Stegostoma tigrinum: one gene and its partners. The protein of the gene in region 2 interacts with the protein of the main gene of each other region in a pairwise test. Links are inferred from orthologs where the notes say so. Each region holds a gene or a part of one and is shown on either strand. Other genes may lie near its edges.

Evidence for each region.
Region 1: the proteins of atxn3 (region 2) and dnm2a interact in binary tests that used the Homo sapiens proteins (3 or more experiments, as listed by UniProt). The link is inferred for Stegostoma tigrinum from reciprocal best matches to the Homo sapiens genes ATXN3 and DNM2.
Region 3: the proteins of atxn3 (region 2) and tex11 interact in binary tests that used the Homo sapiens proteins (3 or more experiments, as listed by UniProt). The link is inferred for Stegostoma tigrinum from reciprocal best matches to the Homo sapiens genes ATXN3 and TEX11.
Region 4: the proteins of atxn3 (region 2) and arhgap19 interact in binary tests that used the Homo sapiens proteins (3 or more experiments, as listed by UniProt). The link is inferred for Stegostoma tigrinum from reciprocal best matches to the Homo sapiens genes ATXN3 and ARHGAP19.

What each region holds. Positions count from the first base shown.
Region 1 is NC_081388.1:24,865,264-24,872,505, reverse strand, and holds the start of dnm2a (dynamin-3), read right to left. Parts: upstream 3,007-7,242; 5' UTR 2,897-3,006; coding exon 2,622-2,896; intron 1-2,621. UniProt on the Homo sapiens protein: Catalyzes the hydrolysis of GTP and utilizes this energy to mediate vesicle scission at plasma membrane during endocytosis and filament remodeling at many actin structures during organization of the actin cytoskeleton.
Region 2 is NC_081363.1:27,980,067-27,987,156, reverse strand, and holds the start of atxn3 (ataxin-3), read right to left. Parts: upstream 3,005-7,090; 5' UTR 2,961-3,004; coding exon 2,937-2,960; intron 814-2,936; exon of another isoform or gene 746-813; intron 1-745. UniProt on the Homo sapiens protein: Deubiquitinating enzyme involved in protein homeostasis maintenance, transcription, cytoskeleton regulation, myogenesis and degradation of misfolded chaperone substrates.
Region 3 is NC_081368.1:40,548,642-40,556,127, forward strand, and holds the start of tex11 (testis-expressed protein 11), read right to left. Parts: upstream 3,014-7,486; 5' UTR 2,913-3,013; coding exon 2,870-2,912; intron 1-2,869. UniProt on the Homo sapiens protein: Regulator of crossing-over during meiosis. Involved in initiation and/or maintenance of chromosome synapsis and formation of crossovers.
Region 4 is NC_081373.1:16,270,930-16,278,697, reverse strand, and holds the start of arhgap19 (rho GTPase-activating protein 19), read right to left. Parts: upstream 3,007-7,768; 5' UTR 2,932-3,006; coding exon 2,918-2,931; intron 1-2,917. UniProt on the Homo sapiens protein: GTPase activator for the Rho-type GTPases by converting them to an inactive GDP-bound state.

The DNA of each region.
Region 1 (7,242 bases), on a different chromosome or scaffold from region 2:
GTTCCCTCTCTCTCTCTCTCCCCTCTCCCCCCCTTTCCCCCAGTTTACACGTTCCCTCTCTCTCTCCCCCTCTCCCCCCCCTTTCCCCCAGTTTACACGTTCCCTCTCTCTCTCTCCCTCTCCCCCCCTTTCCCCCAGTTTACACGTTCCCTCTCTCTCTCTCCCTCTCCCCCCCTTTCCCCCAGTTTACACGTTCCCCTCTCTCTCTCTCCCTCTCCCCCCCTTTCCCCCAGTTTACACGTTCCCTCTCTCTCTCTCTCTCCCTCTCCCCCCCTTTCCCCCAGTTTACACGTTCCCTCTCTCTCTCTCTCCCCCCCCCTTTCCCCAGTTTACACGTTCCCTCTCTCTCTCTCTCCCCCCCCCCTTTCCCCAGTTTACACGTTCCCCCCTCTCTCTCTCTCCCCCCCCTTTCCCCGGTTTACACGTTCCCCCCCCTCTCTCTCTCTCCCCCCCTTTCCCCCGGTTTACACGTTCCCCCCCCTCTCTCTCTCTCCCCCCCTTTCCCCGGTTTACACGTTCCCCCCCCCCTCTCTCTCTCTCTCTCCCCCCCTTTCCCCCGGTTTACACGTTCCCCCCCTCTCTCTCTCTCTCTCCCCCTTTCCCCCGGTTTACACGTTCCCCCCCTCTCTCTCTCTCCCCCCCTTTCCCCCGGTTTACACGTCCCCCCCCTCTCTCTCTCTCCCCCCCTTTCCCCCGGTTTACACGTTCCCCCCCCCTCTCTCTCTCTCCCCCCCTTTCCCCCGGTTTACACGTTCCCCCCCCTCTCTCTCTCTCCCCCCCCTTTCCCCCGGTTTACACGTTCCCCCCCCCCCCTCTCTCCCCCCCTTTCCCCCGGTTTACACGTTCCCCCCCCCCTCTCTCTCTCTCCCCCCCTTTCCCCGGTTTACACGTTCCCCCCCTCCCTCTCTCTCTCTCTCTCTCTCCCCCCCTTTCCCCCGGTTTACACGTTCCCCCCCCTCTCTCTCTCTCTCTCCCCCCCTTTCCCCCGGTTTACACGTTCCCCCCCCTCTCTCTCTCTCTCTCTCCCCCCCTTTTCCCCGGTTTACACGTTCCCCCCCCCTCTCTCTCTCTCTCTCTCTCTCCCCCCCCCCCTTTCCCCCGGTTTACACGTTCCCCCCCTCTCTCTCCCTCTCCCCCCTTTCCCCCGGTTTACACGTTCCCCCCCCTCTCTCTCTCTCTCCCCCCTTTCCCCGGTTTACACGTTCCCCCCTCTCTCTCTCTCTCTCTCTCCCCCCCCTTTCCCCCGGTTTACACGTTCCCCCCCCCTCTCTCTCTCTCTCTCCCCCCCCTTTCCCCCGGTTTACACGTTCCCCCCCCTCTCTCTCTCTCTCTCTCCCCCCCTTTTCCCCGGTTTACACGTTCCCCCCCCCTCTCTCTCTCTCTCTCTCTCCCCCCCCCCCTTTCCCCCGGTTTACACGTTCCCCCCCCCTCTCTCTCTCTCTCTCTCTCCCCCCCCCCCTTTCCCCCGGTTTACACGTTCCCCCCCCCTCTCTCTCTCTCTCCCCCCCCCTTTCCCCGGTTTACACGTTCCCCCCCCTCTCTCTCTCTCTCCCCCCTTTCCCCCGGTTTACACGTTCCCCCCCTCTCTCTCTCTCTCCCCCTTTCCCCCGGTTTACACGTTCCCCCTCTCTCTCTCTCTCCCCCCCTTTCCCCCGGTTTACACGTTCCCCCCCCCTCTCTCTCTCTCTCTCTCCCCCCCCTTTTCCCCGGTTTACACGTTCCCCCCCCCTCTCTCTCTCCCCCCCCCTTTCCCCCGGTTTACACGTTCCCCCCCTCTCTCTCTCTCTCTCTCCCCCTTTCCCCCGGTTTACACGTTCCCCCCCTCTCTCTCTCTCTCCCCCTTTCCCCCGGTTTACACGTTCCCCCCCCCTCTCTCTCTCTCTCTCTCTCTCTCCCCCCCCCCCTTTCCCCCGGTTTACACGTTCCCCCCCCTCTCTCTCTCTCTCTCCCCCTTTCCCCCGGTTTACACGTTCCCCCCCTCTCTCTCTCTCTCCCCCTTTCCCCCGGTTTACACGTTCCCCCCCTCTCTCTCTCTCTCCCCCTTTCCCCCGGTTTACACGTTCCCCCTCTCTCTCTCTCTCCCCCCCTTTCCCCCGGTTTACACGTTCCCCCCCTCTCTCTCTCTCTCTCCCCCCCTTTCCCCGGTTTACACGTTCCCCCCCCTCTCTCTCTCCCCCCCCCTTTCCCCCGGTTTACACGTTCCCCCCCCTCTCTCTCTCTCTCTCTCTCCCCCTTTCCCCCGGTTTACACGTTCCCCCTCTCTCTCTCTCTCCCCCCCTTTCCCCCGGTTTACACGTTCCCCCCCCTCTCTCTCTCTCTCTCTCCCCCTTTCCCCCGGTTTACACGTCCCCCCCCCCTCTCTCTCTCTCTCTCTCCCCCCCTTTCCCCCGGTTTACACGTTCCCCCCCCTCTCTCTCTCTCTCTCTCTCTCCCCCCCTTTCCCCCGGTTTACACGTTCCCCCTCTCTCTCTCTCTCCCCCCCTTTCCCCCGGTTTACACGTTCCCCCTCTCTCTCTCTCCCCCCCCTTTCCCCCGGTTTACACTTTCCCCCAGTTTACACATTCCCCCTCTCTCTCCCTTTCTCCCGATTTACACATTCAGTCTCTCCCCCCCGCCCCCACCTGCCGACGAAGTTCTCCAACACCGAGCTTTTGCCGGCGCTTTGCCCTCCCACGACGGCGATCTGCGGCAGGTCGAGATTACAGCTCTGACCGATGGAGCTGAAAGCGTCCTGCAGCTTGTTAACCAGCGGGATCAGATCCTCCATCCCCCGGTTCCCCATTGCGCCGCTCGGGGACTGATTCACTCCCAGCGCCTGAGGCCTGCGCTTCCGCTCACACCCTAGGCCCGCCGGATAACCGGGCACATCCCACTCGCCAGATCTACCGCCAATCATCCGAATCTAAGCCATTCATCGCACGGCCTGCCCTTGTAATGACGCCTTTCCTGGGTGCGTCACCCATTCTGGCCCAATTAGATTGGACATTCCTCCGTCAATCACAACATCGCTCATTCTGAATGGGTGCATTGGACATCAGTCAGATGTCACCACCCATATGACCAATCATTGGCTAAGGTCCCTGTCGATCATAGTGATTCCGTCACTGATTCGCTCCCCCGCGTTCCGAAAGCTGACCCGCCTTCCTCTCCAATATAACTGCTGGATGAACACAACAGGCCACGCAGCATCTTAGGAGCAGGAAAGCTTATGTTTCGGAAGGCTCTGGGCCCGAAACGTCAGCCTTTCTGCTCCTGAGATGCTGCTCGGCCTTCTGTGTCCATCCAGCTCCACACCTTGTTATCTCGGATTCTCCAGCATTGGCAGGTCCCATTATCCCCGCCTTCCTAACCCTTCATTGGCTTCTCCTGCACGTCAGTCATCCACGGCCAGAACCGATTGGAGACCGATGAGGTCATGCTTCCACCCTCCCTTCCCTGTTGTTACTGACCAGGAAGCGAACAGACCAGGATAACAAAGTGTGGAGCTGGATGAACACCGCAGGCCAAGCAGCATCTCAGGAGCACAAAAGCTGACGTTTCGGGCTCAGACCCTCCAGACGAACTGACGAAGCTGAGTACACACCCAGATACGTAGCATTGTGCCATACAGCAGGAAAGGTGCATAAAAACAACTGGAAAATAATCCAGAAGAAAATCTGAAATTTGAAAAAAAAATTGGAAAGACCTCAGGTGTTTAGACAATACCTCTGTAGAGAGAAACACATTTAACATTTCAGTAGTATCAGAGATAATGGGAACTGCAGATGCTGGAGATTCTCTGGATAATAAAATGTGAGGCTGGATGAACACAGCAGGCCAAGCAGCATCTCAGGAGCACAAAAGCTGACGTTTCGGGCCTAGACCCTTCATCAGATTTCAGAATCCTCTCCCAATCCCCCTCTTTGATGAAGGGTCTAGGCCCGAAACGTCAGCTTTTGTGCTCCTGAGATGCTGCTTGGCCTGCTGTGTTCATCCAGCCTCACATTTTATTATCTTAACATTTCAGTAGAATTGGTTTAAGTAAAAGATACTGTAATACAGGTTTCAAGCAGGTTGGCAGCAGGAATAAAAGAGTGGGGTGATGATGGATGATCTGTGATCATTTCAAAAGAAGGAAATTTGAAATAACGAAAAAAAAGTGGAGCATTTGAAAGGAAGTGGAAATGCATCAAGAAGCATGTAAATGACATTGACAGGACACTGAAATAGATCATATGGCCCCTCAGACTTGCTCTGCTGCTTTAACACAGTCATGGTTGAACTTGTTACTGGTGCTGCCAAACTACTGCTGATGGACATTGAAATTTCCCATCCAGCGTACCTGCTGTCCTTTGCCACCCCAAGTGGTGTTCAACGAGGAGCATTGATTCATAAACAAAGACCAGGATTTGGACTGGTATGTGGTGATCAGCACGAAGTTTCATTGCCTCTGTTTGACCTGATGCCACGAGACCTCATGGAGGCCCATGTCAATATTGAGGGCTCCCAACCAATTCTCCATGTGAAATAACTGCACGGAGGCTGGCGCCCCACCACCAAAATCATCCTTTATCTCCATGCACACGCTACACAGGCTGTAGCCAGCTAGCCGAGAGTCAGTCCCCTGAACTGAGGAGATTCTCAACTCCTGATCATATTGTTCAGCCAGGGCTTTCCTGACTAGGGTAACAAAGTGTGGAGCTGGATGAACACAGCAGGCCAAGCAGCATCTTAGGAGCACAAAAGCTGACGTTTCGAGGCTCGACCCTTCATCAAAGAGGGGGATTGGGAGAGGATTCTGAAATAAATAGGGAGAAAGGGGGAGGCAGATCGAAGGTGAACAGAGGAGAAGAGGGGTGGAGAGGAGACAGACAAGTTAAAAGGGGCGGGAATGGAGCCACTAAAGGCGAGTGTAGGTGGGGAGGTAGGGAGGGGACAGGTCAATGGGGCGTCCCATTGGGTTAGTAGGTAGGTAGGTAGATAGGAGATGGAGGTGTGGCTTGAGGTAGGAGGAGGGGATAGCTGAGAGGAAGAACAGGTTAGGGAGGTGGGGACGAGCTGGGCTGGTTTTGGGATGCAGTGTTTTGGGTTCCCTAGCAGAATTTGAGTTGCTATTCCTGCAACCTTCGGGTGGCATCGTTATGGCACTGCAGGAGGCCCAGGACAGACATGTTGTCTAAGGAAGGCGAGGGGGAGTTGAAATGGTTCGTGACTGGGAGGTGCAGTTGTTTATTGCGAACCAAGCAGAGGTGCTCTGCAATGCAGTCCCCAAGCCTCCGCTTGGTTTCCCCAATGTAGAGGAAGCCACAATGGTACAGCGGATGCAGTATACCACATTGGCAGATGTGCGGGTGAACATCTGCTTAATGTGGAAAGTCATCTTGGGGCCTGGGATGGGCGTGTGGGAGGAGGAATGGGGGCAAGTGTAGCACTTCTTGCGGTTGGAGGGGAAAGTGCCAGGCGTGCTGGGGTTGGAGAGGAGTGTGGAGCGGACAAGGGAGTCCCAGAGAGAGTGGTCTTTCCAGAAAGCACATAAGGGTGGGGATGGAAAAATGTCTTTGGTGGTGGTGTCGGATTGTAGACGGCAGAAGTGTTGGGAGGATGATGCATTATGTCCGGAGGTTGGTGGGGTGGTATGTGAGGATGAGGGGGATTCTCTTTTGGCGGGTATTGCAGGGACGGGGTGTGAGGGATGAGTTACGGGAAATGCAGGAGACATGGTCGAGGGTGTTCTCGAGCACTGCCGGGGGGGGGGGGGGGGGGGAGGAGTGGGGTGCGGTGCAGTTGCAGCCCCTGAAGAAAGAAGACATCTGGAATGTATGGGAGTGGAATGCCTCATCCTGGGAGCAGATGCAGTGAAGGCGAAGGAATTGGGAACAGGGGATGGAATTTCTTCAGGAAGGTGGGTGGGAGGTGGTGTATTCCAGGTAGCTGTGGGAGTCGGTGGGCTTGAAATGGATATCTTGAAATGGTGGTTGCCTGAGATGGAGACAGGAAGGGGAGGGATGTGTTGGAGATGGTACAAGTGAACTTGAGGTTGAGGTGGAATGTGTTGGTGAAGTGGATGAACTGTTTGAGCTCCTCTTGGGAGCACGAGGCGGCGCCGATATAGTCATCAATGTAACAGAGGAAGAGATGGGGTTTAGGGCCAGTGTAGGTACGGAAGAGGGACTGTTCCACATAACCTACAAAGGGGCAGGCATAGCTTGGGCCCATGCAGGTACCCACGGCCACCCCCTTTGTCTGTAGGAAGTGGGAGGAATCGAAAGAGAAGTTGTTGGGGGTGAGGACGAGTTTGGCTAGGCGGATGAGGGTGTCAGTAGAGGGGGTCTGGTCGGGCCTGCAAGACAGGAAGAAGCGGAGTGCCTTTAGGCCATCTGCACGGGGAATGCAGGTGTATAGGGACTGGACGTCCATGGTGAAAATGAGGTGTTGGGGAACGGGGAATTGGAAGTTCTGGAGGAGGTGGAGGGAGTGGGTGGTGTCATGGACATAGGTAGGGAGTTCCTGGAACAAGGGGGAGAAAATGGAGTCCAGATAGGTGGATTCGTGTTTGGTGGGGCAGGAGCAGGCGGAGACAATGGGTCGACCAGGGCCAGCAGGTTTGTAGGTTTTGGGAAGGAGATAGAAGTGGGCGTTGCAGGGTTGGGGAACAATGAGGTTGGAGGCTGTGGGTGGGAGGTCACCTGAGGCGATGAGGTTGTGGATGGTTTGGGAGATGATGGTTTGTTGCTCGGGGTGGGGGGGGGGGGGGTCATGATCCAGGGGGCGGTAGGAGGCGGTGTCGGAGAGTTGGCGTCTGGCCTCGGCGATGTAGAGGTCAGTGCGCCATACTACCACTGCGCCTCCTTGTCTGCGGGTTTCATGGTGAGGTTGGGATTGGAGCGGAGGGCTGCACTTTCTGCAGGGGAGAGGTTGGAGTGGGTGAGAGGGGTGGAGAGGTTGACGCGATTGATGTCTCAATGGCAGTTGGAGATGAAGAGGTTGAGGGAGGGTGGTGTCCAGGAGGAGGACTTGTGTTGGAGGCAGGTGAAGGGGTCAGCAGAGGGAGGGTTAGGCTCACAGTCAGAGAAGTAAGCATGGAGGCGAAGGCGGCGGAAAAACTGCTCGGCGTCCAAACCTGACTGGTATTCGTTATGTGTGGATGGAGGGGGAACAAAGGTGAGCCCCTTGCTAAGGACTGACCATTCATCCTCAGTCAGTGGGAGGTCTGGGGGGGGGGGGGGGGGGGGGAAGGTGAAGATTCGACAGGGCTCAGTGTGG
Region 2 (7,090 bases):
ATTGATAGACTCTTGTTAGGTAAGGGAACAGATAGATTTTCAGGGCAAATGGCAATGTGGATTTCAACCAGAATCTATTGAACAAAGGAGCCATCTTAAAGAGTTAAATGGCCTACTGCTGCTAAGATGTATTTAACAAAGACATAAGTACGTATTGAATCTAAGGAGGCTGCTGAGTACTTTAGCATGTCAAGCCAAAGATGGAGTGGTTGTTTAAGCTATTTGCAGTAAAGTTCAAGTGTATGACAGCCCCAGGAGTAAGGTATCAGAGTTCGAGTTTAACTGGCGTGAATATTACATGAATGATGCTTGTATACTGTACCAGGAGTGATGGTTTGAGAACAGTGCCAGGAGTGTTCTGAGCAAGATATTAAAAGCAGCTTGGCTTCATTTTAATTTATAAAGGTGTTTTTGGGATTAATGGGATTCTAATGTGTTTAAAACCTTGCAATTTGTACCATAAGTAGTTTGGATTATTCTATCATTGTTTCTTTTTAATAAACTAGTTTGGTCAGTGAAACAAAATCTGGAGCATTATGTGCTCAAGTCTATGTCAGAGACCATGTTTCTAAAACCAAAACAAATAAAATTATGATCTATCAAGTCAGGTTCCTGTCTGGCATTCAAGTTATCCAGTAATAATATCAGCTGGGTTCATTACACAAAATAAAGCTAGCATGAAAAATCATTAAAAATCCATCTGGTTCACTCACATGTTTTATGACAGGAAATCTATCCTACTTACCCAGTCTGCGTATATGTTGCTCTGGATCAAAGCAATGTTGTGAACTTTTAATTGCTGCCTGGAATGACCTAACAAACCATAGAGTACAAGGGCAATTAGGGATGAGCAACAGATGCTGATCCCATGAAACAATATAGGAGAAAAGGACAGTCTAGACAGAGTAATTAACGAAAAATTTCTCATCTATTGAGTCTTTCAAAATGAGAAGGCACAGATTTAAGGTAACAGGCAAAAAACATGAGAAGCTTTTTCCTGTAGGTTGGGATCTGAAATGCACTGCTAAGAGTACAGTGGAGGCAAGTTCACTTGATATATTCAAGAAGGAAATGGGTTATTGTCTGAAAAGGAGGAACATATAGCTTACGGAGAAGATGAGTGTGTGGCAGAAGCGGAAGAATACAAGATTCTGTGAAGTACACAAATTTGCTTTTAAACATTAAGTTTGCTTCGACCCCCCTTTATTAAGTGCATTCCAACTTTGAACAAACTGCTGCCTAACATTCTCTTCAACAATCATCTAGTTCTTTTTCCAATTATCTTGTATATGTTTTGGTTTTGATCCTTTTGTCACCTCAGTTAGCTTTGAAAGGAAAAGTTTGTACATTCAATTCTGGGGGGTCTGAAAAAGTAGGAGAGAGTGTTTCCTCTTGGGGAGGAAGGGCAGAAGAGAAACAATGGGCTTCCCAGTTAAAACAGAGGTGAGGAATTTCTTCTCTAGGAGTGTCATTAATTTTTGCAGTTCTGTGTCACGTAGTACAGTTGAGACTAGGTCATTGAACATATTTCAGACTAAGTTGGACAGATTTGTGATCAAGAATGAGTTTAGTGGCTTTTGGGGAGGGGGGTGGCAAACGATCTACTTCTCGTTCTGATGCTCTTATACAGAATAAGAGAAAATAGGGTTCGCCAAATAAGTACAAGTATTAGTAAATAAATATACATGGCATTTTACAATACACACACATATGTAGCCAGCTTATCTGCTATATTGTTAGGTACAAGAGTCAGAATTATATAGGTCTTGCATAACTAGGCATAAATTGTAAAGTTTTAATGAGTTATTTACAGTATGTATGAACTAAAAGAATACAAATAAATAGCTGCATAATCAATGAAATTTACCACAATTATTATGAGTTAGTAATATCTTATGACATTTTATGTAGAATCAAGGCCTGTGCTGCCTTAAAAGATATAAAGTTATATGGTGAGAGATAATCAGATCAGGAATCAGTTGAAATTTAGTCCCCATTTGAACATTTTACATCATCTTTATTTTCATATTTTGACAATTCCAACACCCATATCTATATGGGAAATGTATGCAAGTTTGTCACATTGTAATCACAACCAACATTTCACTATATTGGGCATCAATTCTCCCTAGCCAATTCCCTATCAGAAACAGATGAACTTCCACACATTAGTCACCGAACAATGATCACCTATATTGAAGTAAAACTGTAAAAACATAACTTTACCAACTATTGTGAGTCAGCTGGTTGACAAATTGTGCTCTTGTATCATGCAGTAACAAGTGTTGCTCAATACTCAAGTGCTGCTGTCATTTTTGAGCCTCACACAAAGGTAATTAAAGGTGTATTACGAAAAACTCTCTCTTAAATGCTTTATGGGAATGATCAGAAATATTTTGGATCAGAAACAGGACATCAAAGACTGTTACAAACAACATATTTAAAACTTCAATAAACTAGGGGTGGGGGAGGAGAGGGGGAGGCAGCTCAGTTAGGGTGGAGAAGGGTTAAGGCCTCTCAGTCGGAGTGGGTGGGACAGAGGGTGAAAGCCCCTCAGTCGGAGTAGGTGGGGCAGAAGATGAAGGCCCCTCAGTCGGAGTGGGTAGGGCAGGGGGCGAAGACTCCTCAGTCGGAGGAAGGGGGGGTCAGGGAGTGAAGGCCCCTCAATCGGCAGGGGAAAAGGGTTGAAAGTACCCCCCCACTCGGGGAGAAGAATACTTCCTCCCCCGTCTACACCGTTTGGGAAGCTCACAGCTCCCCTTGTCCTACCCGACTCCATCCCCAACCTTAGGGAGGGGTGTGTGAACGTGTGTGTGTGTGCGTGTTTTTTTTCCCCCTTTGCAACACGACGTCGAACGCCACTGCGGCCGTTCCTCTCAGGGCCCGAGGAGCTCCCACCTCGACCATTTTAAACAGTAATTTCCGCATCAACTCACTTTCTCGTGAAATATCGCCTCCATGATGGACGATGAACCATCATCCTGTGCGGCGTGACTACACCCACTGGGGGCGGGGTCAAAGCGAGAACCAATCATCGGCCTGCTCATACGCATGCGTATAGAAACGCACAGTCGCCCTAGCAACGTAACACAGCGAGAGACGCGGGGGTGTCCCTGAGGCTGAGGCCCGGCTTGGACACAGCCGGCCTGGGTTTTAGATCTACACCGAGTGCAGTCACTTCTCTTCAGAAACCGACTAAAATGTCCGGAATTTTAGGAAATCAATGCCGATCCGGAGTTTCCTGTATCACAGTTGACGCCGGCCTGTTGCTGGCGGAAATGTACTATTGTCCCTCCTATTGTGCAGGACCAGACAGGAATGTTGTCGGAGATAATGGGAACTGCAGATGCTGGAGATTCCAAGATAATAAAATGTGAGGCTGGATGAACACAGCAGGCCCAGCAGCATTTCAGGGGCACAAAAGCTGACGTTTCGGGCCTAGCCCCTTCATCGGGTCTCGGCCCGAAACGTCAGCTTTTGTGCCCCTGAGATGCTGCTGGGCCTGCTGTGTTCATCCAGCTTCACATTTTATTATCTTGGATTCTACAACATCTGCAGTTCCCATTATCCCAAATAAATTGCAGATGCTGGAAATCTGAAAAACGAAACCCACAAAAACTGCTGGAATTTCTCAGCAGTTACGGCAGCACAGATTAGAAGTTGGGGAAGCATGAGAGTATAGAAATGTAATTCTTATCGTCGACATGGACAAGTTGGACCGAAGGGTCTGTTTCCGTGCGGAATACCTTGCATCTGCTGATCAGTTTCAGGAGTAGCTTCAGGACAGTTCTGGGGAAGGGTCATCAGACCTGAAACATTAGCTCTTTTTTTCCTTCACGGCTGCTGCCAGACCTGCTGAACTTTTCCAGCATAACCATAAGACCATAAGACATAGGAGTGGAAGTAAGGCCATTCGGCCTATCAAATCCACTCTGCCATTTAAATCATGGCTCATGGGCATTTCAACACCACTTCCCTGCACTCTCCCCGTAGCCCTTGATTCCTTCTGAGATCAAGAATTTGTCGATCTCTGCCTTGAAGGCAACAAAGTGTGGAGCTGGATGAACACAGCAAGCCAAGCAGCATCTCAGGAGGACAAAAGCTGACGTTTCAGGCCTAGACCCTTCAACTTTTCCAGCAACTTTGTGTTTCTGATTTACAGCATCCGCAGTTCTTTCATTTTTTTAAGCTTCAGGAATCGGCTTGCCTGCCTGTGCCTATACAATTGGAAACAAAGCAGTTAGTGTCTTCTGTCTGAAATTTTATTTGATTTATTGTAGTCACGTGTACCTGAGTACAGTGAAAAGCTTTGTTTGTGAGCAGCACTAGCAGATTATAGTAAGCAGGGATATACAGAACTTAGGGTGCTTAAATAGAATGAGGCATACAGGTTACACTGCGCAGGAGGATCACCTTTTTGAAGTTAGAAAGTCCATTCATCAGTCTAATAATAGCAGGGAAGAAACCGTTCTTGAACCTGTTCGTACGTGTGTGGAGATTCCAAGATAATAAAATGTGAGGCTGGATGAACACAGCAGGCCCAGCAGCATCTCAGGGGCACAAAAGCTGACGTTTCGGGCCTAGACCCTTCATCGGGTCTCGGCCCGAAACGTCAGCTTTTGTGCCCCTGAGATGCTGCTGGGCCTGCTGTGTTCATCCAGCCTCACATTTTATTATCTTGGATTCTACAACATCTGCAGTTCCCATTATCCCAAATAAATTGCAGATGCTGGAAATCTGAAAAACAAAACCCACAAAAACTGCTGGAATTTCTCAGCAGTTACGGCAGCACAGATTAGAAGTTGGGGAAGCATGAGAGTATAGAAATGTAATTCTTATCGTCGACATGGACAAGTTGGACCGAAGGGTCTGTTTCCGTGCGGAATACCTTGCATCTGCTGATCAGTTTCAGGAGTAGCTTCCCTGTTGCCTTGAAGGCAACAAAGTGTGGAGCTGGATGAACACAGCAAGCCAAGCAGCATCTCAGGAGGGGGGCACAAGCTTCTGTATCTTCTGCTCAGAAGAGGTTGTATGAGAGCATTACCGGGGTGGGAGACATTTTGTTGATCTTGGCAGCCTTTCCACAGCAGCAAGAAGTGTAAATGGAGTCCATTAATAGAAGGTTGGCATCCATGATGGTCTGGCTGTGCACACAACCTTCTGTAGTTTCTTGTGGTCCTGGCAGAGCATTTGCCATACCAGGCCGTAATGTACCTGTTATTATGCTTTGTGTGGCGCATCTGTGAAAGTTGGTGAGGGACCTTGTGGACATGCTAAATTTCCTAAGCTGTCTGAGCAAGAATCTTTGTTGCGCCTTCTTGACCATCTATGTGGAAAGTTCAGGACGGGTTGTTGGTTATTGTCATTCCTAGGAACTTGATGCTTTCAATCTCTGCTCCCTTTATTATAGATGGGGACATGTTCATAGTTCTCAAGTGGCATTGAGAGATAGATTGGAAGATCTCCAATCATGGTTTTCAGCATCTTATAGATGCAGTGATCTGGGGCTTCTAGGATGTTTGGCTGTCACCAGAATAATGCACATTAGACTGGGATCACAATTACAAGGGCAGATTTGAAGGACAGTGGTTGGATTTGCACGTATGTAATTTTGTTGTTTGTACATGGCATCATTTTCCAGTCCCTTTGGATGCCAGTAGCACATGAGATTATGTTGCAGTGGATGTGGGCATTGATGGTTGGGCCAGCATCTATTGCCTATCCTTAGATGCCCTTGAGAATGTGGAAGTGAGGCACTTTGAATGGTTCCAGTACATTTTGTTTGGGTAGATCCACAATGCCATTAGGAAGGGAGTTGCAGAATTTTGACTCTGTGACATTGGAATAGCAATATATTTCCAAATTAGGGGCACTTGCAGTTGGTGATGTTATCTGCTAGGTGGGTGCTTGGAAGGTGCTATCTAAAGAGCCTTATGAATTTATGCAGTGTACCTTGTAGCTACTAGTGGGAGTGAATGTTTTAGGTGTGGTACCAGTAAAGTAGCTGCTTTGCCCCAAATTACGTCAAACTTCTTCAATATTGTTGCAGCTGCACCTATCCAGACAAGTGGGAAGTATTTTCCGTTGCATTTCTGACTTCTGCCATGTGAGTCAGGTGAGTTACTCACTGCAGGATTCCTAGCCTCTGAATAAGAAGGACTTTGAATGTCAAGGGACGATGGTTAGGTTCTCTCTTGCTGTGGATGGTCATTGTATGGTACTTGTGTGGCATGAACGTTCCTTGCCACTTGTTAGCCTAGTTACTGGCATCCGGACATGAACCAAAAACAATGATTTTTAAGAAATTAACAACACAGGATTTTAGGTGTAAGTCATGATTCAGTGGTAGTACTTTGCCTCTGAGTCAGACAATTTAATTTAAATCTAGTTATATGAACATAAATCTAGACTGACACTCCACTGCTACATGGATAGAGTGTAAACTTTGGTTAGAATAGCAGGCTCAAAGGGTTGAGTGGTCTACAATTGTTCCTTATTTGTATGAAAAGCAGGGACATTTTCCCACTATCCTGGCTATATTTATCCCATAACCAACATCAATAAAACCAAAATATGTAATTATCACACAGCTGTTTGTTGGACTTTCTAATTCAGGACAATGATTTTCAGTCTGGGGTTTGTGGAAACTTAACAGGTAATCTGTGAAATAATCTTTCAAATGAACAAGCAACAAAAACACAAGGTGGAAAAGAAAAGGAATAAAAAGGCAAGCCACCAGTTTTGTATAAATTATAGGTAGTCAATGTTCAATCCACACAAATAGCAGATGCCTGCTGTTGAGTAACATGGCCTTCTTCACAATGATGGGCACATCACTGCGAAGGGGATGAAAAGGAAGGTGGGAAACAAGCAGTTCATGGATGTCATACCAGGGTGCACTCAATTCAGATGTATAAATTGATTGTGTGCTATTATAATCACCTTCTGCTGTCATTTCAAATTAAATTGTTTGAATACTTGCCAACAATCTTATTAAGCCACTGAAATACTGCAGTTCCACTCCAAGATTTACAAAGTCCTCAGTCAAGTTCAGTAGGATTATTAAGAGCTCATAATTTGAAATAATCTA
Region 3 (7,486 bases), on a different chromosome or scaffold from region 2:
CACACACACACACATTCCCCCCACACACACACACATTCCCCCACACACACATTCCCCCACACACACACACACACATTCCCCCACACACACACACACACATTCCCCCCCACACACACACATTCCCCCCCACACACACGCACACATTCCCCCCCACACACACACATTCCCCCCCACACACACGCACACATTCCCCCCCACACACACGCACACATTCCCCCCCACACACTCACACTCCCCCCCACACACACACACTCCCCCCCCACACATACTCCCCCCCCCCCCACACACACACACACACACACATTTCCCCTCCCCCCCCACACACACATTCCCCCCACACACACACATTCCCTCCACACACACACACTCCCCACACACACACACACACACACACATTCCCCCCCCCACACACACACACACACACACACACACACATTCCCCTCCCCCACCTACACACACACACCCATTCTCCCCCCCCGCACACACACACATTCCCCCCCCACACACACACACATTCCCCCCCACACACATACACATTCCCCCCCCCCCACACACACACATTCCCCCCCCACGCACACATATTCCCCCCCCACGCACACACACATTCCCCCCCCCACACACACACATTCCCCCCACACTCACACACGCACACACATTCCTCCCCCCCACACACACTCATTCCCCCCCACACACACACATTCCCCCCCCACACACACACATTCCCCCCCCACACACACACATTCCCCCCCCACACACACACATTCCCCCCCCACACACACTCATTCCCCCCCAACACACACTCATTCCCCCCCCACACACACATTTCCCCCCCACACACACATTTCCCCCCCACCACACACACATTTCCCCCCCACCACACACACATTTCCCCCCCACCACACACATTTCCCCCCCACCACACACATTTCCCCCCACCACACACACACACAATCCCCTCCCACACACACACACATTCCCCCCCCACTCACACACAGATATTCCCCCCCACGCACACACATTCCCCCCCCACGCACACACATTCTCCCCCCGCCACACACACACACACACACACACTCCCCCCCACCCACACACACACATTCCCCCCCACACACACACATTCCCCCCCTACACACACAAACACATTCCCCCCCCTGCACACACACAAACACATTCCCCCCCTACACACACACATTCCCCCCTTACACACACACATTCTCCCCCACCCCCACACACACACATTCCCCCCCTACACACACACATTCCCTCCCCCCCCACACACACACACACTCCCCCCCCACATACACACAAATATTCCCTCCCCCCACACACACACATTCCCTCCCCCCACACACACACAATTTCGCACCCCCCACACACACAAACACATTCCCCCCCCAACACACACACCTCCCCCCACACACACACACACACACACTCTCCCCCCCCCCCACACACACACACACACACACACACACACACACACACTCCCCCCCCCACACACACACATTCTCCTCCTCCCACACACACACTCAGATTCCCCCCCACACACACACACAGATTCCCCCCCCACACACACATTCCCCCCACACACACACATTCCCCCCACACACACACACACATTCCCCCCACACACACACACACATTCCCCCCACACACACACATTCCCCCCACACACACACATTCCCCCCCCACACACACATTCCCCCCCACACACACATATTCCCCCCAACACACACTCACGTCTTCCCCCCCCACACACACACATATTCCCCCCCACACACACGCACACATTCCCCCCCACACACACGCACACATACCCCCCCACACACATATATTCCCCCCCCCACACACACACACATAATCCCCCCCCCACACACACACACATAATCCCCCCCCCACACACACACAATCCCCCTCCACACACACACATAATCCCCCCCCCACACACACACATAATCCCCCCCCACACACACACACATAATCCCCCCCCACACACACACATAATCCCCCCCACACACACACATATATTCCCCCCCCCACACACACACATATATTCCCCCCCCCACACACACACATATATTCCCCCCCCACACACACACACACACATTCCCCCCCCACACACACACACACACATTCCCCCCCCACACACACACACACACATTCCCCCCCCCACACACACACACACATTCCCCCCCCCACACACACACATTCCCCCCCCACTTACACACATATTCCGCCCCCCCACACACACACATACATTCCCCCCCACACACACACACTTCCCCCTCAACTCACACACACACACACGCACACACACACACTTCGCCACCAACAAACACACACAGACTTCCCCCCCAACACACACACACACACACACACACACACTCTCTCTCTCTCTCTCTGAACACCCTCACACACACACACAGGTAGACATACACTAAATCTATTGAGTGAATTTGTATTTGCTGATACATTCCATTTTGTTCAAAAAGCACACAATTTGTAGGCATTCAGTCAATGTATGGTTTTATAAATTCATACTTTAGAAATAAAACTACTTTGATTCTAATCTAAAACATAAACACATTCTAATCAAGGTCTCACATCTAACATGAACTATCTGATGTAAAATGTCACCCTTGTTTACACTGATAAAACCTTGAGTTCTCTCCGGACCAAGATTAAAGATTTAACAGCATCCTATGTTTCTTTAGGATATCCTCAATGTTGTGATCCTTTGATCTTTTACTTACAAATTGTGTCTGATACTACCTCTTACACTAACATGTGAAGGAGGACTGAGGGTCCGAAAGCTCGTGTTTTGAAATTAACCTGTTGGACTGTAACTTGGTGTCGTGTGATTTCTGACCTTGTCCACCCCAGCCCAACAATGGCTGCTTCACATCATGCATATTCGTTGATGCTGGATGTCTTGGTAGCTGTAAGGTTCCATGATTTCTCAGTTAGTTGTTGCCTTAGATCCGGTTCACTGTTCTTTTAGAGTTGTTGTGCGAATTGGATTTTCTAACTGAATGATGGTTCCAGGCAGCTGTCCCTGTGACTATGTATTTCCCCAGAGCATCGACTAGCTGTTGTTTTCTTTAATTTTAGAAGTTCTGTCACAACTCCAGGATTTTGTTAGAAGGCAAGGGTTTTTGGTACAGTATTTAAAATGATAGGGATACTACAATGCTGAGGCTGATTGATTAAGGACCATGTAGAGAGGCAAATATAGACAGCATGAGAGTGGGGAGCAAGAGCGAGCAGAGACAGCAAGAGACAGACAGACAGAGAGACACAGAGGGGAGAGCAGGAGAGCAAGGCAGTGATAGACCCCTGTTCCCAAGAATGCGGCTTCACCCATGGGTCACTTGCCCCAGTAGAGGAATTTGGCCGTGCACCCCATGCCCCAGAATGTGACATCACACACAGGTGCCTCGCCCCAGAATGTGATTCCAATCATGAGCCCACCGCCCCAGAATGTGACTTTGACCGCAGGCTCCTCGGCCCAGAACGTGACATTGCACACAGGCCCCTCATCCCGGAAGTCGACAGCGCACTTGGACCCCTCGCCTCAGAATGTAACATCTGCTGCGGGGGCCTCACCCCAGAATGTGACTCTGATAGCATGCGCCCTCACCCCAGCCTGCAACACAAATGCAGGACCTTCTCACTAGACAGCTTAACAACTAAAAACAACTTGAAATCTGGCAAACCACCTCCCTCTGCTTGACTGCGTTTACTCTCCCCACACTGCTTGACTGCAGACCACTTGTTGAATGCAAAGCTAATTGTATACCCTTCTCCCTAGAATATGACCACGCCCGCACACCCTTTGCACCAGGCTGCACTGCCCTCTGGCAATCAATCACCCGAGGCATAGCACACGTTTTTCTGGCCAGACCATGATACCAACCACAGGACCCTCTCCACAAAATGCCACACTGATTGCTAACTACTCTTCCAAAAATGCTCAACCGCAGGGTACTATCCCAGAATGACATCATTGTAAGGGTCCTGTTTACACGTTGATCGATTGCGGGCATGCGTCAGATGGCTCAACCGTAGTCCACACACTGCAAACATCTTGACTGCCTGGCTCTCTCCACACAGGGCACAAAAGCAATGCCAATGTCAGTCCAATTGCCCTAGGCTTGCCAACTGTTCTCTCCAAAATACATGTCTACAACTCCAATTTCAATTCGCTCAAAGCAGATAGCTCAATTGCGATGCCGAATGCAGACCAAATTTCCAGACTCCAACACTGACTGTGGGCCACACTTCCCAGATTAGATGACCATAGACCACTTGTCCCATACTGTTTGAACACATGCAACTTTCAAAGACTACAATGGTGATCATGGCCCATTTTTCCAAGACTGCATAAACACAGGCCATTCATCAGAGTTCATTCCAGCTTGGATCCCAGGTCCGATCCTCCTCCACCGTGACATATTCCCCAACTGCTCAAACTCTGGCCAATCAGACCACACTGTTCAACAGCTGACCACTTGCCCCTTCCCCCAGACTGCAACACCGACACGGGCTGCTGGACCCAGTAGGCAATATCAACTGCAGGCCCCCTAATTGGACTGACGCTCACAGTGGGCCAATCTGACCAGAATGCAATGCCAAACATGGGCCCTTCATCCCACAATGAGACATCTACCACAGGCCCCTCACTTCAGCCTGCTCGAATGCGACACTGACTATACGTCCCTTTCAATATATTGCAAAACAGCGAAGATGGCTCAAATTCTGCCCACCCATCCGAGACTGCTCGACAGCATGTAATCTCTTCAGACTTTTCAACTAGAGGCAGAGTCAGAGAACACAGAAACCAGTTCATGCCGACTACAGTTCCAACGAAATTAGTCCCACCTGCCTGCACTTGGCCCATAGCCCTCTGAACAGTTCTTATTCATGTAGTTAACTAAATGTCTTTTAGACATTGTAACTTTTCTGCATCTAACACATTCCCTGCAAGTTCATTCCACTCACCAACCACTCTGTGCAAATAAACTGCCCCTCGTGCATTTTTCAAATCTTCTATCTCTCAGCTTAAAAATAAGCCCCCAGTCGTGAAATCCCCCACCTAGAGAAAAGATACCTACCATTCACCTTATCTGTATGTCTCATTATTTTATAAGCCTCTATAAAATCATCTCTCAACCTCCTGCATTCCAGTGAATGAAGTCCCAGTCTGTCCAACCCCTCCTTATAACTCAAATCCTTTATTCCTGGAAACATCCTGACCAATCTCTTCTGAAACTTCTCCAACCTAATAAATAATATCCTTCCTATAACAGGGTGATCAGAACTGGACAGAAAATTCCAGAAAAGACCTCACCAGCATAATGACTACGGACTACTCTTTCCAGAATAACTGAAGGCAAAGCTACTGCAAGCAAGTCACCTAGAATGTTAGGAAACAACATTAGGCCCCTCACCCCAGAAAGCTCAACTGCATGTCGCACTTCCCAGACTGACCGCATGTGCCATCAACTTTGGGCACTGTTCCCATACTGCTCTGCCACCAACGTGGCCCATGAACGCAACGCTAACTGCAGGTTTCCTCACCAGTCAATGTGATATATAGAATGTGGCATCAACAGTTGTCCATTCTAATCAGAACGCGATGCCGACCCTGGGGCTCCTTGGTTAGAATGCTCAGCCAACTATAGGTCCCACCCTACAAAAAGCAACGGCAACCACAGGCCACTTTCCCTAGACTGCTCAACCATGGACCACTCTCCGCAGAACGTGATGCAAACCACTACCCGCTTACCCCACAAATACAACACCAATAGCAGGCCCCTCAACCAGAATGTAACGCTGACAGGGCTGCCCTCCCCCAGGGTATCCAGCACCAACATCTGTCCAGTCTCCCCAGAATGCTTAACCGTGGACAACTATCCCAAAACGGCTCAAACACAGGCCACTGTTCCCGTACTGCTCAGCCGTGAGCCACTTTCCCAGACCACTCAACTGATATGCCCATGAATGCAAGGCTGGCTACAAGCCACAGTTCCCATACTGGTCAACACAGGCCACCAACCCCAGACTGTCTGACCGTGTCAGCGTCCCAAGAGTGCTCAACTGAGGGCCACTCTTTGCAGAGTGTTCAAATTTGACACCAACTACAAACCCTTCACCCCAGAAAGCAATATGACTCTCAGGTCCCTTGCACACGAAAGCTTGGCCAACCAGTAGCTCCACCCTCCAGAAAGCAATGCCAACAGCAAGCCTCTTGCCCCATGAATGTAAAAAGGACTGCAGGTGCTGTGAATCAGGAACAAAAACAGAAGTTGCTGGAAAAACTCAACAGCTCTGGCAGCATTTGTGCAGAAAAAAAAAATCAGAGTTAATATTTCAGGTCCAGTAGCCCTTCCTCAGTTCTGCTGAGACCTGCTGAGCTATTCCAGCAACTTCTGTTTTTGCCCATGAACATAATGCTGACTGTGAACCCCTCACCCCAGAAAGCAATGCAACTCTCAGGCCATTGCCCAAAAAAGCTCTGTGAACCATGGTTTATTCTCCCCAGAACTGGCCACTCTCTCTACACTGCGGCACCAACTGTGGGTGCCTCCCACAAAATGCGACACAGAAGGCAGGCCATTCTCTCCAAAAAGCATAATTGGAACAGTAAATTTGAGTCACTCGAGTGCAATACCGAATGTGAGCCACTCATCCAAGACGCACTCTCACCAAGTTGTGCAAATGCAACAGTTGTTGATTGTAATGCCCACTCAGATGGATTGGCTGGAAGGGCATTAGAAGAGGCAAACTAAAACTAAAGGCACAGGTGGCCGTAAACGGGGCCCAGAGAAAACAGACAAGCAAGTTATGTACTCTCTCACCCTCATTTACCTCTGCAGCAAATGCAGCAGAGTGCCCTGCCAAAATAGGGAATGAAGTCACACCAGAGGATGCTTAACACACTGAGTTGACAATCTCACTAATTTTTGATTTTAAAAAGGCTGCCAATCTTGGACTAACCAATGATCAAACTATATGTTGGTACAGATTCAGGAAGCTAAATGATATTATTTCTCACTGGAAACCAGTCTATTTTACATGGAAAGTATGAGCGAGAATGATTTGTTCATTTGCAATTGGTCTTGGATTGCTAGATAATCTCTTCCCCAACATGTCTTCCTCAAAATGTTAGAACAATTTGCAATCAATTATTTATTCAAGAGATATTATTGTTATGATCTTCAGGTCAGTGATAATTTAACTAAGTACTGAACAGTCTGGTGCTCTCTGACATAAAGGATGTAACATTAGTGCTTACATAAATGATCGACAACACTAAACAATATTTTAACTGTAAAGCTGTAAATGTTTTTATGACCACAGGGAACAAGAACATTTAAGAAGAAGTATAAGCCCAAATTACTCCAAAGGAATTGCTCCAAAGTACCAATATCGTGTCTGACCACAGCTGCCAGATGTAGCCTCAGACGTTTAATCACCAGAAAAA
Region 4 (7,768 bases), on a different chromosome or scaffold from region 2:
TGTGTGCACATGCCCTTCTCTCTCTCTCTCCCCATCCACGTGTGGGTGCGCGCGCGCGCCCTTCTTCTCTCTGTCCACGTGTGGGTGTGTGCGCCTGATGTTTGAGGTGAGCTACTGGCTTGGATTGAGGATTGGCAGAGATTTGGGATAAAAGGCTCTTTTCCGGAATGGCAACAAGTGGTGTCCCGCCGGGTTCAGTGTTGGGGCTGCAGCTGTTCACTTTACATATTAATGATCTGGATAAAGGAACTGGGGGCATTCTGGCGAAGTTTACCAATGATACGAAGATAGGTGGGCAGGCAGGTAGTACTGAAGAGGTTGGGAGGCTGCAGAAAGATTTAGACAGTTGAGGAGAGTGGTCCAGGAAATGGCTGATGAAATTCAATGTGAGCAAATGCAAGGTTTTGCACTTTGGAAAAAAAAGAATACAGGCATGGACTATTTTCTAAATGGTGAGAAAATTCATAAAGCAGAAGTACAAAGGGGTCTGCAAGTGTTGGTCCAGGATTCTCTAAAGGTTAACTTGCAGGTAGAGTCTGGGATTAAGAAAGCAAATGTAATGTTATCGTTTATCTCAAGAGGGTTGGAATATAAAAGCAGTGATGTGCTTCTGAGACTTTATAAAGCTCGAGTTAGGCCCCATTTAGAATACTGTGTCCAATTTTGGGCCCCACACCTCAGGAAGGACATACTGGCCCTGAAGCGTGTCCAGCAGAGATTCACACGGATGATCCCTGGAATGGTAGGTTTAACATACGATGAACAGCTGAGGATCCTGGGATTGTATTCATTAGAGTTTAGAAGGTTGAGGGGAGATCTAATAGAAACTTACAAGATAATGTATGGCTTAGAAAGGTTGGACGCTGGGAAGTTATTTCCATTTGGCGTAGAGACTAGGACGCGTGGGCACAGCCTTAGAATTAGATGGGGTAAATTAAAAACAGAAATGAGGAGACATTTCTTCAGCCAGAGAGTGGCGAGCCTGTGGAATTCATTGCCACGGAGTGCAGTGGAGGCTGGGACGTTAAATATCTGCAAGGCAGAGATTGATAAATTCCTGATCTCACAAGGAATCAAGGGCTACAGGGAGAGCGCAGGGACGTGGAGTTAAAATGCCCATCAGTCATGATGAAATGGCGGAGTGGACTCGATGGGCTGAATGGCCTTACTTCCACTCCTATGTCTTATGGACCCCCCCCTCCGTGCGTGTGCTCGTGCCACCGACCCCTCTCCCTGCGTATGCGCGTGCCCCTGCCCCCTCTGTGTTTGAGCATGCACGTGTCCCTCTCTCCCTGCATGTGCGTACATACCACCCTCCCTCTCCCGATGTGTGTGCATGTTTTTCTCTCTCTTTGTCCCTATGTGTCTCTCTCTCTTTGTCTGTGTGTGTTTTTCTCTCTCTCTCTGTCTGTCCCTACGTGAGTGTGACTCTTGCTCTCTCTCCGTCCCTGTGTGTGTTTTTCTCTCTTTGTACCTCTCTCTCTCTGTCACTATGTGTGTGTGCATCACTTGCTCTCTCTCTGTCCCTGTGTGTTTTTCTCTCTCTTTGTACCTCTCTCTCTCTGTCCCTATGTGTGTGTGCGTCTCTCGCTCTCTCTCTGTCCCTGTGTGCGTGTCTCTCGCATTCTCTGTCCCTGTGTGCGCGCCTCTCGCTCTCTCTCTGTCCCTGTGTGCGCGCCTCTCGCTCTCTCTCTGTCCCTGTGTGCGCGCCTCTCGCTCTCTCTGTCCCTGTGTGCGCGCCTCTCGCTCTCTCTCTGACCCCGTGTGCGCGCCTCTCGCTCTCTCTCTGACCCCGTGTGCGCGCCTCTCGCTCTCTCTCTGACCCTGTGTGCGCGCCTCTCGCTCTCTCTCTGACCCTGTGTGCGCGCCTCTCGCTCTCTCTCTGACCCTGTGTGCGCGCCTCTCGCTCTCTCTCTGACCCTGTGTGCGCGCCTCTCGCTCTCTCTCTGTCCCTGTGTGCGCGCCTCTCGCTCTCTCTCTGTCCGTGTGCGCCTCTCGCTCTCTCTCTGTCCCTGTGTGTGTCTCGCTCTCTCTCTCTGTCCCTGTGTGTGCGCCTCTCGCTCTCTCTCTGTCCCTGTGTGTGCGCGTCTCGCTCTCTCTCTGTCCGTGTGCGCCTCTCGCTCTCTCTCTGTCCCTGTGTGTGTGTGTCTTGCTCTCTCTCTCTGTCCCTGTGTGTGTGCGCGCGTCTCGCTCTCTCTCTGTCCCTGTGTGTGTGTGTGTGTCTCTCGCTCGCTCTCTCTGTCCGTGTGTGTGCGTGCCTCTCGCTCTCTCTGTCCCTGTGTGTGTGTGTGTCACTCTCTCTCTCTGTCCCTGTGTGTGTGTGTGTCGCTCTCTCTCTCTGTCCCTGTGTGTCGCTCTCTCTCTCTGTCCCTGTGTGTGTGTGTGTCTCTCGCTCTCTGTCCCTGTGTGTGTGTCTCACTCTCTCTGTCCCTGTGTGTGTGTGTGTGTGTCTCGCTGTCTCACTCTCTGTCCCTGTGTGTGTCTCGCTGTCTCACTTTCTCTCTGTCCCTGTGTGTGTCTCGCTGTCTCACTTTCTCTCTGTCCCTGTGTGTGTCTCGCCGTCTCTCTCTGTCCGTGTGTGTCGCTCTCTCTCTCTGTCCCCGTGTGTGTGTGTCTCTCGCTCTCTCTCTGTCCCTGTGTGTGCGCGCCTCTCGCTCTCTCTGTCCCTGTGTGTGTGTGTCTCTCTCTCCCTCTGTCCCTCGCTCTCTCTCTCCCTCTGTCCCCGTGTGTGTATGTCTCTCTCTCTGTGTCCCTGTGTGTGTGTCTGTCTCTGTCCGTGTCCTTGTCTCTCTCTCCATCTCTCTGTCCCCGTGTGTCTCCCGCTCCCCACCTCTTCATTCCTGTCTAAATTTTTTCACTCTCCCCACCTCTCTCTCTCTTCCCATCACTATCCATGCATGCAGGTTTTTTTTCTCACCGAGATTCCGACATCTTCCAACCGGTGCGCTACCGTTTGTGGTCTCTACTCCCATTGGTCAGTTTGAATTCAAACTGCGTGCTTTTCCAGCAGCCGCGCACGCGTATCTCAATCCACCGCGCGACTCGTCATGGGAATTGTAGTTGTTTGTCGGGCTCAATGGTCATAGGCTACCTAAATAATTAGGTGAGACAGCTCCTACAGATAGAAAACAGTGATGTGCTCACATTAAATGCAAGAGCTAAACGGTCATCAATCTGAAATGTTAGATAACAAGGTGTAGAGCTGGATAAAAACAGCAGGCCAAGCCGTATCAGAGGAGCAGGAATGAAATGTTAATTCTGTTTCTTTCCACGGAAGCTGGCTAACCTGCTACGTCCTGTTTCTGCATAGGAGCAAATTACTGCAGATGCCAGACTCTGTACTGAAAACAAAAATGAAGGAAATCACAGCAAGTCAGGCAGCATCCACAGAGAGAGAGCAAACTAACGTTCACCATCTAGACGTCTCTTCTGATGAAGACGCGATGTCTTAGCATATTTTTCTCATTGCCAGGATCTGCAACTGCAACTGATGAAGGGTGGTTGTGAAGCCTGTTTCTCTATCCACGGGTGCTGCCAGACCTGCTGAGTTTTTTCAGTAATTTCTGTTTTTGTTTCAGATTTCCAGGGTCCATTTCTTTGTTTGTTCAATCCGATCTCTTGTATTAGCCCTAACTGTTCAAGCTGCTCTTTTTCTCATACTAGACTGGGTATTACCTCAGGGTCTGTTTTGAGTAGTGCCCGAAACTACATGTAGCTTCCAAGATAATAAAATGTGAGGCTGGATGAACACAGCAGGCCCAGCAGCATCTCAGGAGCACAAAAGCTGACGTTTCGGGCCTAGGCCCTTCATCAGAGAGGGGAATGGGGTGAGGGTTCTGGAATAAAGAGGGGGAGGCGGACCGAAGATGGAGAGAAAAGAAGAGCTGGAGACGAGAGTATAGGTGGGGAGGGGATAGGTCAGTCCAGGGAAGACGGACAGGTCGAGGAGGTGGGATGAGGTTAGTAGATAGGAGATGGAGGTGCGGCTTGGGGTGGGAGGAAGAACAGGGTAGGCAGGTAGAGACAGGCTGGACTGGTTTTGGGATGCAGTGGGTGGAGGGGAAGAGCTGGGCTGGTTGTGTGGTGCAGCGGGGGGAGGGGACGAACTGGGCTGGTTTTGGGATGCGGTGGGGAAGGGGAGATTTTGAAGCTGGTGAAGTCCACATTGATACCATTGGGCTGCAGGGTTCCCAAGCGGAATATGAGTTGCTGTTCCCAACCTGCAACATGTAGCTTCAATCTGTTTTAACCCGTATTAGATTTTTTTTTCCTTAAAAGGTTTTAAACATATTCAGTACTACTTACAATGTCTTGCAATGGTGAACCCATAAATCTGTGTTCTTCTAAATACAACTAACCCATTGAACAATCAGAATCTCTTCTAGTTTGTAGGTCTTCCTACTTCCATTGTTTTTCTGCCTTGATTTCTCCCTAGTCTTGATCATCTCTTTTCTCTCAATTACCAAAATTACCCCACTCAACCTGACATTTTTACTCCAATTAAGCATTGTCCTTAGTCTTGGTATCCCTTCTCTAATATAAATGAAATGTAAGTAATACAGCTAAATCTTCAGTATCCAGTAAGTGCAGAGCTCTCCTGTCAGAGGATATACACAAGTAATATGATATTTTACATTGTCAAAAATGAGTCTTTAATTCTCTCCAATTTCATATCATGTTACCAAGAAAATACAAGTGACCAACCCTCAGCTGCTTGCCAAAACCAATCAGTTGCTTCCCAGTTGCTTCATAACACAACTTTGGGGAGGTTTAATTAGCTCAATGAAAACTGAGGTAATTTTCCCTTCCTTAGGAAAATACCATTTTTTCACTTTGTACTTCCGCAACTGAGAACAGGAGCTTTCCTGTGGCAGATATATGAAACAGACAATGTATCAATCACAGAGCCTCATATCCAAACCCAAGTTCAGTACTTCACTTGGACTTAGCTGCAACCTTACTGATTACATTAACCTGGTTTAATATCCCAAAATTAATGATTTTTTTCACTTTGCCCCTCAGTTAATGGGGCAGTTACAGATTTATAGTCGACTGTATTATCATGAACAAGATCTAACTTTGGAAATGAAAACAGCAAGTATCATCTGCAATACCATTTTATTTACATAATTATTTCTACACAAAGCTTCATAATCACCTTATGTAGAACATCTGAGCCACATAAATAAGTTCTCTTCATTATTTAACAAATGAAGTTCTAGGTATTGAAACATCTAATATATAAAGCTGTAGCAAAGCCTTCATATGTTATAGTTACAATCAGAAATATAGACACTAGTTTCCCAACAGTTACAGTACAAGTAACATCCTGGAATATCCAGGACACAGGATCTGTGATGGATCACAGGTGCTCTCCTATGGTTTTGGTTGGGTTTCATTGTTAGATCAATGTAAAAGTGTAAGCTAGAGGACTCATTATGATTCAAGTCTCAACATACTACAAATTCAGGAACAAAATAAGTCTCTCAGCAATGCTGTAGAGGCGATCACAATTGTTTCATGAAATTATGCAACAGGACACTTGTTTCAAGGTGAAAAATCACACTACCATGTTCAGTTCCAGGGCAAAAAAGCTACAGACTAAATATTCACTATACACTGTCCCTGTCAAAAATTCCCAGGACAGGTGCATCATAGGGTTAGGACAGAGTAAAGCTCCATTTACACTGCCCTAAAGATACCCTTTATTGACAAACGTAAAGAAGTGTTCAAATAATTAATCAGAGCCAAAGTTAAGGTCTGTTGGCAATTGAGGACTCAAGCCACCGAAACATTTAAGTTATATAAAAGTGGACCAAAGTGGCAGTCAGGAATATTATGTGGACCATTAAGATCTTTTTAACTTTGGTAGTCAGAATGGAAAAGCAGGATTTTTCTTCTGAAGGTGTTAAACCTGAGAAAGTTTTAGAAGGGTCATGCTTGCACTCATACAAGAAAACAGAGATAACTCAAAAGGTGAAGCAAGTAATTATGCTTCCAAATGGCATATTGACCCTTATTTCAAGGTAATTGAAGAATAAGGGAATCTTAGTACAATTGAAGGGATCGGTTTGCTAGATGGCTAGTGCGTAGTTCGGAAAAATGCCAACAACACAGGTTTGGTTCTCATTTGGCTGAAGTAGACTTAAGAACTGTCTCCCCAAAAAACAGAATGCAGTGGAAAACAACCACTTTTTTCTTCTTCAGTCAAAAAGAAAACTGGCTCGCAATGAAGTGTCAATAGAGAACCAGAGGACACGCCTTCAAACAGAACACTCGCAGCACAGCAGTACAATTCTACAGGGGTTTAATGAGATACAGTGTGCAGTTAGGGTCTCCATATTTGAAGAGTATGTATTTTCATTGGAAGTGAAAATACCACCTCAAGGACTGTCTGTGTAGAGTTTGCACATTCTCCCAGTGCCTGGGTGGATTTCCTCCAGGCCTTCTAGTTTCCTCCCATAGTCCAAAAACATGCTGGATGGGTGAACAGGCCATGCTAAATTGCCCATCGTGTCCAGCAAATGAGCGGCAAGGTGGATTAGCCATGGGAAATGCAGTGTTAGACATAGGGGTGGGAGGGTGGGAAATGCAGTGTTAGACATAGGGGTGGGAGGGTGGGACATGCAGTGTTAGACATAGGGGTGGGAGGGTGGGACATGCAGTGTTAGATATAGGGGTGGGAGGGTGGGACATGCAGTGTTAGACATAGGGGTGGGAGGGTGGGACATTCTTTGGAGGGTTGTGTGGATTCAATGGGCTGAATGGCCTGCTTCCACATTGTAGGGATTCTAGGATTCTGTGATGCAGTGAAGGCTGGAAGGATTTTTAGGATGAAAGACAAGAGGCTGAGAAAATTGGGCCTATACTTTCATGAATTGAAAAGATTCATTGAAATGCAAGATTCCAAAGCAAATTAACTGGGTAGCGACACAGGCAGGGAATCTAGAACATGGGCACATTATCAAAATAAAGATGTGACCATTTAGACCATATAAATATATGAACAGGACACTTGAACCCGCATCGCCATTCAAACAAAGTTCCATTGTTGAATATTTTGAAGAAATCAATTGATTTTTGGTCTCAGTGAAGTACAGGTAACAGGCAGTATAGCTAAAGTGATAATTAGCCATGAACACATAGATGGACAAACGGGCTGAAGGTTCTTAATTAACACACAAGTTGACTGATAGTAACATAGTCATTTCTAATTATTAGATGTCCCTTGATGGTGCTGTAATGAGCGTAGTCCATTCCCCCACCTAACTGATTTTAAGACTGCAATTGTCACCAAAATGGCTGCAACCTCCTCATTGATTCCACTCTCAGTGCACCATGGGGTTCCCACCAGCATTTGCAGTGACAGATTCTCCCAAATTTTCAACCTTTATTCACCTATAACATAAAGGTCAGCAGATACCTTCAAGTTCCTCTGTAAGTCACACCCATCCAGACTTGGAATGATATTGTCATCCTTTCACTAGACATCACAAGGTGGAACTACATTGAAGCACATAGGAATCACATTTGTGCTTAACCTGTTATTGAGGTCATAATTTAAAAAATACCACAAAGTTATAGAACATTTATTATTTATAGTGCCAGAGTATTTATTTGGATAATAAATGTGAAGAATATTCAGCAAAAGGAGTCTCTGCAGTGGTGGATGGAACAAGATCATTAATATAGATATCTGACCAGGTTGCCTACATGAAAAAACTCAATTTTCACAAGTGTCAATCAGATATGAGTGCAAGTCTTCAAT